Callithrix jacchus: one gene and its partner. The protein of the gene in region 1 interacts with the protein of each later gene in a biochemical or structural test. Links are inferred from orthologs where the notes say so. Each region holds a gene or a part of one and is shown in the gene's direction. Other genes may lie near its edges.

Region 1 (3,754 bases):
GCTGGAGTGCAGTGGTGTGATTTCCGCTCACTGTAACCTCTGCCTCCCGGGATCAAGTGATTCTCCTGCCTCAGCCTCCCGAGTAGCTGGGACCACAGATGTGCTCCACTACGTCCAGCTAATTTTTGTGTTTTTAGTAGCGATGGGGTTTCATCTTGTTGGCTAGGCCTGTCTTGAACCCATCCTCAGGCAATCTGCCTGCCTCAGCCTCCCAAAGTGTTGGGATTACAGGCTTGAGCCACCGCGCCCGGCAAGAAGCCATGTTTTAGTGGGTACACACGTGCACAGGAATTGGAGAGTGGGGAGTGTGAGTTGACTGTTGAGTAGGGCCTGTGTGTGTGTATGAGTAGGGAAGGAGCCAGTGCGGGGAGTGAGAGCTCAGAACTAGGTATTCGAAGCGGGTATTTATGAAGAGGGGTATACCTACGAGCAGACAATGCACTCAGACAAGAAAGATTTGTGCATTGGACAGAAGAGAGCTACCTGAAACTAATGCTTCTCACAGTGACAGCACTCCCCGCCCGCACACTCGCGCACACCTTTTTCCTCGGCAATAAGAACTAAGGAGGTAAGTAAGGGATCTGATAGATAATCAGTTTGTGCATATGTGCAAGGTGAGAAATTGCGACAATGCATATATTTGAGAAAAAGTGAAATCTTTAAAGGTAAAATAACAAAACCAGCTGTGGCTCCTATTGGATAAGGAATTACTAACTGATAATTTAGAAATGCCTTTAAGTGCGTTAGCAGCTCATTTGTTATCCCCATTTTCCAGATGCGCAGCCCCAGAGTCACGTGCTCTAAATGAGACTGCAAAGACCGATTCCAGCGTCCGGCGGCTCTCACCTGAAGCTGCCCAGCTGAGGTCAGCGGTGAGTAGGTGACCTGCCAGCGCCCGCGGGCCTGCGGCCGAGGACAGGGCTGGAACTACACTTCCCAGTGTGCCAGGCGGGGCGGGGCGCGGCGGGGAGGGCGCAGGCTCCTTCCCAGAAGCAAAAGCGGAAACAAAAGAGTCTCGCCGGCGTCCCCGCCCGCACACTCGCTCTCGGGCGCACACGGAGCAGGGACCGGCGCCCGGAGCGATCCTGGGAGCGGCGAGCCGGAGACCCACTGCGCGGAGCCAGCCGAGCCGCCAGAGCCCAACCCGGGACGACCCGCGCCCCCGAGCCCCGCAGCCGCCCCCCGCCGGCCGGTGTCCCCACCGCCATCCCGGACCCATGGCGCTGAAGCGGATTCAGAAAGTGAGTGCCGAGGCTGGGCCTGGGGCTGCGGGGCGGGCAGCGGCCCCCTGACCCGGCCGGTGGTCCCGAGGGACGTGCGGGGAAAGCACGGGATGGGAGGGTGGGCCGGAGCGCGGGCAGGGAGCCGGAGGCTCGGGCCGGGCCAGCGGGCACCGGACAGGTGAGGTGGGAGCTGGGGCAGGTCCCAGGCGGCCGGAGGAGCTTGGAGGCTGGGGGCCCGCTCTGCGCTCGCGCCGGAGCCGCTCCCGGAGCCCCGGGGTAGAGAGCCTCCTCCGCCTCCATACCGCCCCAAAATCTGTGCTTCACGGTCAGGGCTGGGTTTTGCCCTCCATGGGACTAGTTTTGACCCCTGTCATGCTGTGTTTTCTGCAGGCTGTTTCTTAAGCCTGTCCTTTTTTTTGTTCCTGCTTCTCCGGGCTCCCCGGGAGGGCACGGAAGGTGGGGTGGGCCTGCAGCCTTTCTCCGCGGAGCTGTCAGGGTTGGTTCTTTCTTTCCTTTGCGGTTGGCTCTTGCTCAGTTGCCCAAATGGGCTGGAAAGCTCATTTGCAGCCAAGAAGCCAGGAGAAGGCTCCTGCCCCTTCTATTTTGGTGCCTCTGCTGCTGCCACTTCAGGTCACATAGCTGTAGCGAAAACATAGTTGCTGATACACAACAAGATGACCTCCTGGCTGTGATTCACGGTGAGTCAAGCCAAACAGGTTTTTTTCCCCCTCATGATAAACTTAGATGTAAAGTTCGAGACACAACATAAACTGTCACAAATTAAATTGTTTTGATGCTTTGACACATGAGTATAGAATGAGGAAGAAATGTATATCTTCATCCAACGACTGTTTGGCCATCTCAACCCTGTGTATGGAACTGTCTTCTTTTCACAGTATTTATTGCAACCATTTCAGATGTGAACAGCTTTCGGAATTGAGATTCGGGCATTTCTTTCTGTTCATGTTTATTTCTTGGTGGTCCGTGTACTGACCCAGGTTTTAGGTTTTACAGTTATAGTTCACACTGGAAACGTTGAGAATGTGTTTGTTAAATAGGGAGTGTTTTTCAGCAAGTTAAGCAACAATGAGCAGTGTGTTTTATAGTTGTTTCAGAATACATTGATGCCCACAAAACATTTTTATCCACTTTTTTGACCAGGAGTCAATATAGCAATATATGTGTTAGAGCAGTGACATTGTATTCTGATTCACCACTGGTGGCATCTTTAGGTACAGAGGACAGCAACTTTTAGAGCCTGCTAGTTTTTTGTTTTCAATTTCTGAATCTGTGGTTCACTTATTTTTTTGTGCCATTTAAAGGTCATCTCATTGTAAAACAGTTAACAATCAGCATTTATTAAGTAATGCTGTTTTCTTGTTTGAAGGTAGTACAATTACACATTTTTTTCATATAAATATCCTAATTTTGAAGCCTCAGTCAGCATGTTTACCATACGTTGCATACTTATTAATGATGACATAATATTGGTTCACATTTGGATCAGATAATGCACATCTTCCAAGGAAGTTTTCAGTCTATTTTCTTCTTTCCTAGTTGTGAGAATTTTTCACGTGACTTTGCACACACAAGAGCTTTTTAAATTTTCTTTTTTTCTTTTTTTTAAAGCGATGGGGGTTGGGGAGTCTATGTTGCCTATGCTGGTCTTGAACTCCTGGCCTCCAGAGAGTCTGGAATTACAGGCACAAGTCACCATGCCCAACTAACAATAGCTTTTAAATGCTGTGTAATTTGTCCACAGTAAGTAGATATTCAAAGAAATATGGACAGTGTTTGTAAATACCATGCTTGGCAGTTTTCATCAATCCCGGTGCTGAACTAGTGCATTTGACTTATAATATGGTATGTGTCCATATCTTTTCTTTTTAGCATTGACAGTTATTAGTTTATAGAGTTGTCCAGTAAAAAAAATTATCTACATAGAATTGATATCAAACGTGATGAATTGATATTTTGGAGAAGAAATTGGGGGTCATATACCATCACATCTCTATGTGTTCATCTTTCTGATACCAGGCAAGTTGACTTAGACAAATCTTTCCATTAATCACATATTCAGACCATTCCCTCAAACCTGAGGGGTGATTATTTTGATTGATTCCATACTTTTCCTCCTCCTTTACCTACCTCCTTGATTAGAAGCCAATTCCAGGTTGGATGTGCTACCTGCCATATGAACAGTTACATAATCTTTTTTGATGCCATCAGTATACAAATTCTTATTTGGATCTTGCATGTTCCAGCAAATGAAGATGTATACTAACTTTTGGCCTTTCTTCTTAAGCTCAATGAAATATTATTATAATTTTCCTCTACCTAAAGTGGCAGGCCGTAGAGCTGTGTGGAACCTCAGATAAGTTTGCAGTAGTGTAGTAGAGCATACCAGCAGGGGAACAACTTCTAGGGCAGTGTCTCAGATTCTTCTGTGGGATGTTTTCTCAGACTATCATCACTTCTGTAAATGGAGAGATGCTTAATCCCTCAGATGGGTTGGGGTGGAAAGAAGACTG
Region 2 (3,654 bases), on another chromosome or scaffold:
TGACTCAGTGGTGAGGGATGAAGCTGAAGAGGTAAACAGGGTTGAGATTGTATGAGATTTTGTAAGCCAATTATATTTTGGATTTTATCCTAAATTAAATTGGAATTGTTGATAGAATTTAAGAAGTGTGACAGAGTTTTTCAAATTTTCAGACAGGTTATTATCATACAATATTGCTTCCTTACAGTTCATTCTCAACAGTTCTGATTGTACTGATCTGATTGTACTGTTGAGAATGAACTGCAAGGAAGCAATATTGTATGATAATAACCTCTCTGAAAATATGTGAAATATTCTTGATTTAGAAAGCTCATTTGTTCATTCAACATAGGGAAAAAGAATCTGAATTCTCGTGGGAGGTAATTCCTGCCACCTCTGTTTCCTTCATCTGTTCACATATGTATATCCAGTTATGACAGGTAATGTGTATTTTGCATCTAAGTACAATATTCCATGTTATTATTTTGATGATTGAACATATATATCATTTTAAATGTAACAGTGTTCCTACAAAATGATGCCTACACATTTTGTTGGTTTTGTGTTTCTAATATTGTAAAAACTTTCCATTTTGATTTCAATTTTTAAGAAATATACAGACTATCCTAATATGTGTTAAATTATTTGTTCCATATAGTTATGCGTTTCGAACCTGGAGAAGATCATGCAGAAGATGCGATCATGATGAATACTCCTGTGGTTAAAGCTGCCCTGGAAATGGGCTTTAGCAGAAGCCTGGTAAAACAGACAGTTCAGAGAAAAATCCTAGCAACTGGAGAGAATTATACACTCATCAGTGATCTTGTGTTAGACCTACTCAATGCAGAAGATGAAATAAGGGAAGAAGAGAAAGAAAGAGCAACTGGGGAAAAAGAATCAAGTATGTAGATTTATTAATACAGTCTCTATTTTCATAAAGATTTGATACTACTCTCTATATTATGGAAAGTATACTCATCTAGTATATATACTGAAAGTATACTCAATCCAATCAGATTTTTTTTGTGTGTTTAGTATTCTGAATTCAAACACTGAAAAATTTCTTTATATTAAAATATATTTGAGTTGCTCATAAATTGAAACTGTATGATGTGCAAAAGTATTTTTTTCTGTTTTCCATATATATATATATATATATATATTTTTTTTTTTTAATTGCATTTTAGGTTTTGGGGTATATGTGCAGATCATGCAAGATAGTTGCATAGGTACACACATGGCAGTGTGCTTTGCTGCCGTCCTCCCCTTCACCCACATTTGGCATTTCTCCCCAGGCTATACCTCCCCCCGTCCCCCCATTGTCCCTCCCCTATTCCCCCCAGTAGACCCCAGTGTGTAGTACTCCCTTCCCTGTGTCCATGTGTTCTCTTTTTTCATCACCTGCCTATGAGTGAGAATATGCGGTATTGCATTTTCTGTTCTTGTGTCAGTTTGCTGAGAATGATGTTCTCCAAATTCATCCATGTCCCTACAAAGGACACAAACTCATCGTTTTTGATTGCTGCATAATATTCCATGGTGTATATGTGCCACATTTTCCCAATCCAGTCTATCGTGGATGGGCTTTTGGGTTGGTTCCAGGTCTTTGCTATTGTAAACAGTGCTGCAATGAACATTCGTGTGCATGTGTCCTTACAGTAGAACAATTTATAGTCCTTTGGATATACACCCAGTAACGGGATTGCAGGGTCAAATGGAATTTCTAATTCTAAGGCCTTGAGGAATCGCCACACTGTCTTCCACAATGGTTGAACTAATTTACACTCCCACCAACAGTGTAAAAGTGTTCCTATTTCTCCACATCCTCTCCGGCATCTGTTGTCTCCAGATTTTTTAATGATCGCCATTCTAACTGGTGTGAGATGGTATCTCAATGTGGTTTTGATTTGCATCTCTCTGATGACCAGTGATGATGAGCATTTTTTTAATGTTTGTTGGCCTCATGTATGTCTTCTTTTGAAAAGCATCTGTTCATATCCTTTGCCCATTTTTGAACGGGCTTGTTTGTTTTCTTCCTGTAAATCTGTTTGAGTTCTTTGTAAATTCTGGATATCAACCCTTTGTCAGATGGGTAGGCTGCAAAAATTTTTCCCCATTCTGTTGGTTGCCAATTCACTCTAGTGACTGTTTCTTTTGCCGTGCAGAAGCTGTGGAGTTTCATTAGGTCCCATTTGTCTATTTTGGCTTTTGTTGCCAATGCTTTTGGTGTTTTGTTCATGAAGTCCTTGCCTACTCCTATGTCCTGAATGGTTTTGCCTAGATTTTCTTCTAGGGTTTTTATGGTGCCAGGTCTTATATTTAAGTATTTAATCCATCTGGAGTTGATTTTCGTGTAAGGTGTCAGGAAGGGGTCCAGTTTCTGCTTTCTGCATATGGTTAGCCAGTTATCCCAACACTATTTATTAAACAGGGAATCCTTTCCGCATTGCTTGTTTTTGTCAGGTTTATCAAATATTGTATGGTTGTAGATATGTTGTGTTGCCTCCAGTGCCTCTGTTCTGTTCCATTGGTCTATATCTCTATTTTGATACCAGTACCATGCTGTTTTGATTACTGTAGCCTTGTAGTATAGTTTGAAGTTCAGTAGTGTGATGCCTCCCGCTGTGTTCTTTTTGCTTAGAATTGACTTGGCTATGTGGGCTCTCTTTTGATTCCATATGAAGTTCATGGTGGTTGTTTCCAGTTCTGTGAAGAAAGTCAATGGTAGCTTGATGGGGATAGCATTGAATCTGTAAATTACTTTGGGCAGTATAGCCATTGTCACGATATTGATTCTTACTAATCATGAACATGGAATGATTCTCCATCTGTGTCCTCTCTTATTTCATTGAGCAGTGGTTTGTAGTTTTCCTTGAAGAGATCTCTTACATTTATTGTAAGTCGTATTCCTAGGTATTTTACTCTTTATGTAGCAATTGTGAATGGCAGTTCATTCTTGATTTGGCTCTCTTTAAGTCTGTTATTGGTGTCTAGGAATGCTTGTGATTTTTGCACATTGATTTTATATCCTGAGACGTTGCTGAAGTTGCTTATCAGTTTCAGGAGTTTTTGGGCTGAGGCGATGGTGTCTTCTAGGTATACTCTCATGTCGTCTGCAAATAGAGACAATTTGGCTTCCACCTTTTCTATTTGAATACCCTTTATTTCTTTTTCTTGCCTGATTGCTCTGGCTAGAACTTCCAGTAGTATACCGAATAGGAATGGTGAAAGAGAGCATTTTTGTCTAGTGCCAGATTTCAAAGGGAATGCTTCCAGTTTTTGCCCATTCAGTATGATATTGGCTGTTGGTTTGTCGTAAATAGCTTTTATTACTTTAAGATATGTTCCATCAATACTGAGTTTATTGAGGGTATTTAGCATAAAGGGCTGTTGAATTTTGTCAAATGCCTTCTCTGCGTCAATTGAGATAATCATGTGGTTTTTGTTTTTGGTTCTGTTTATGTGGTGAATTACATTTATAGACTTGTGTATGTTGAACCAGCCTTGCATCCCCGGGATGAATCCTACTTGATCATGATGGATAAGTTTTTTGATGTGCTGTTGCAATTGGTTTGCCAGTATTTTATTGAAGATTTTTGCATCTATTTTCTTTTTTCTTAGGTCTGGCATTACTGCCTACCTTTCTTTTTTTCCTTTTTTTTTTCTTAATTTTTT

Evidence for each region. The genes of interacting proteins can lie anywhere in the genome.
Region 2: the proteins of UBE2D1 (region 1) and BIRC3 form a complex in vitro, tested with the Homo sapiens proteins (5 studies listed by BioGRID). The link is inferred for Callithrix jacchus from reciprocal best matches to the Homo sapiens genes UBE2D1 and BIRC3.

Annotation. Positions count from the first base shown.
Region 1 is NC_133513.1:72,171,181-72,174,934, reverse strand, and holds the start of UBE2D1 (ubiquitin-conjugating enzyme E2 D1), read left to right. Parts: upstream 1-1,217; coding exon 1,218-1,241; coding exon of another isoform or gene 1,242-1,523; intron 1,524-3,754. Other genes in the region: uncharacterized protein LOC144578806, read right to left, coding at 867-1,523.
Region 2 is NC_133511.1:37,294,156-37,297,809, reverse strand, and holds part of BIRC3 (baculoviral IAP repeat-containing protein 3), read left to right. Parts: intron 1-637; coding exon 638-880; intron 881-3,654. UniProt on the Homo sapiens protein: Multi-functional protein which regulates not only caspases and apoptosis, but also modulates inflammatory signaling and immunity, mitogenic kinase signaling and cell proliferation, as well as cell invasion and metastasis.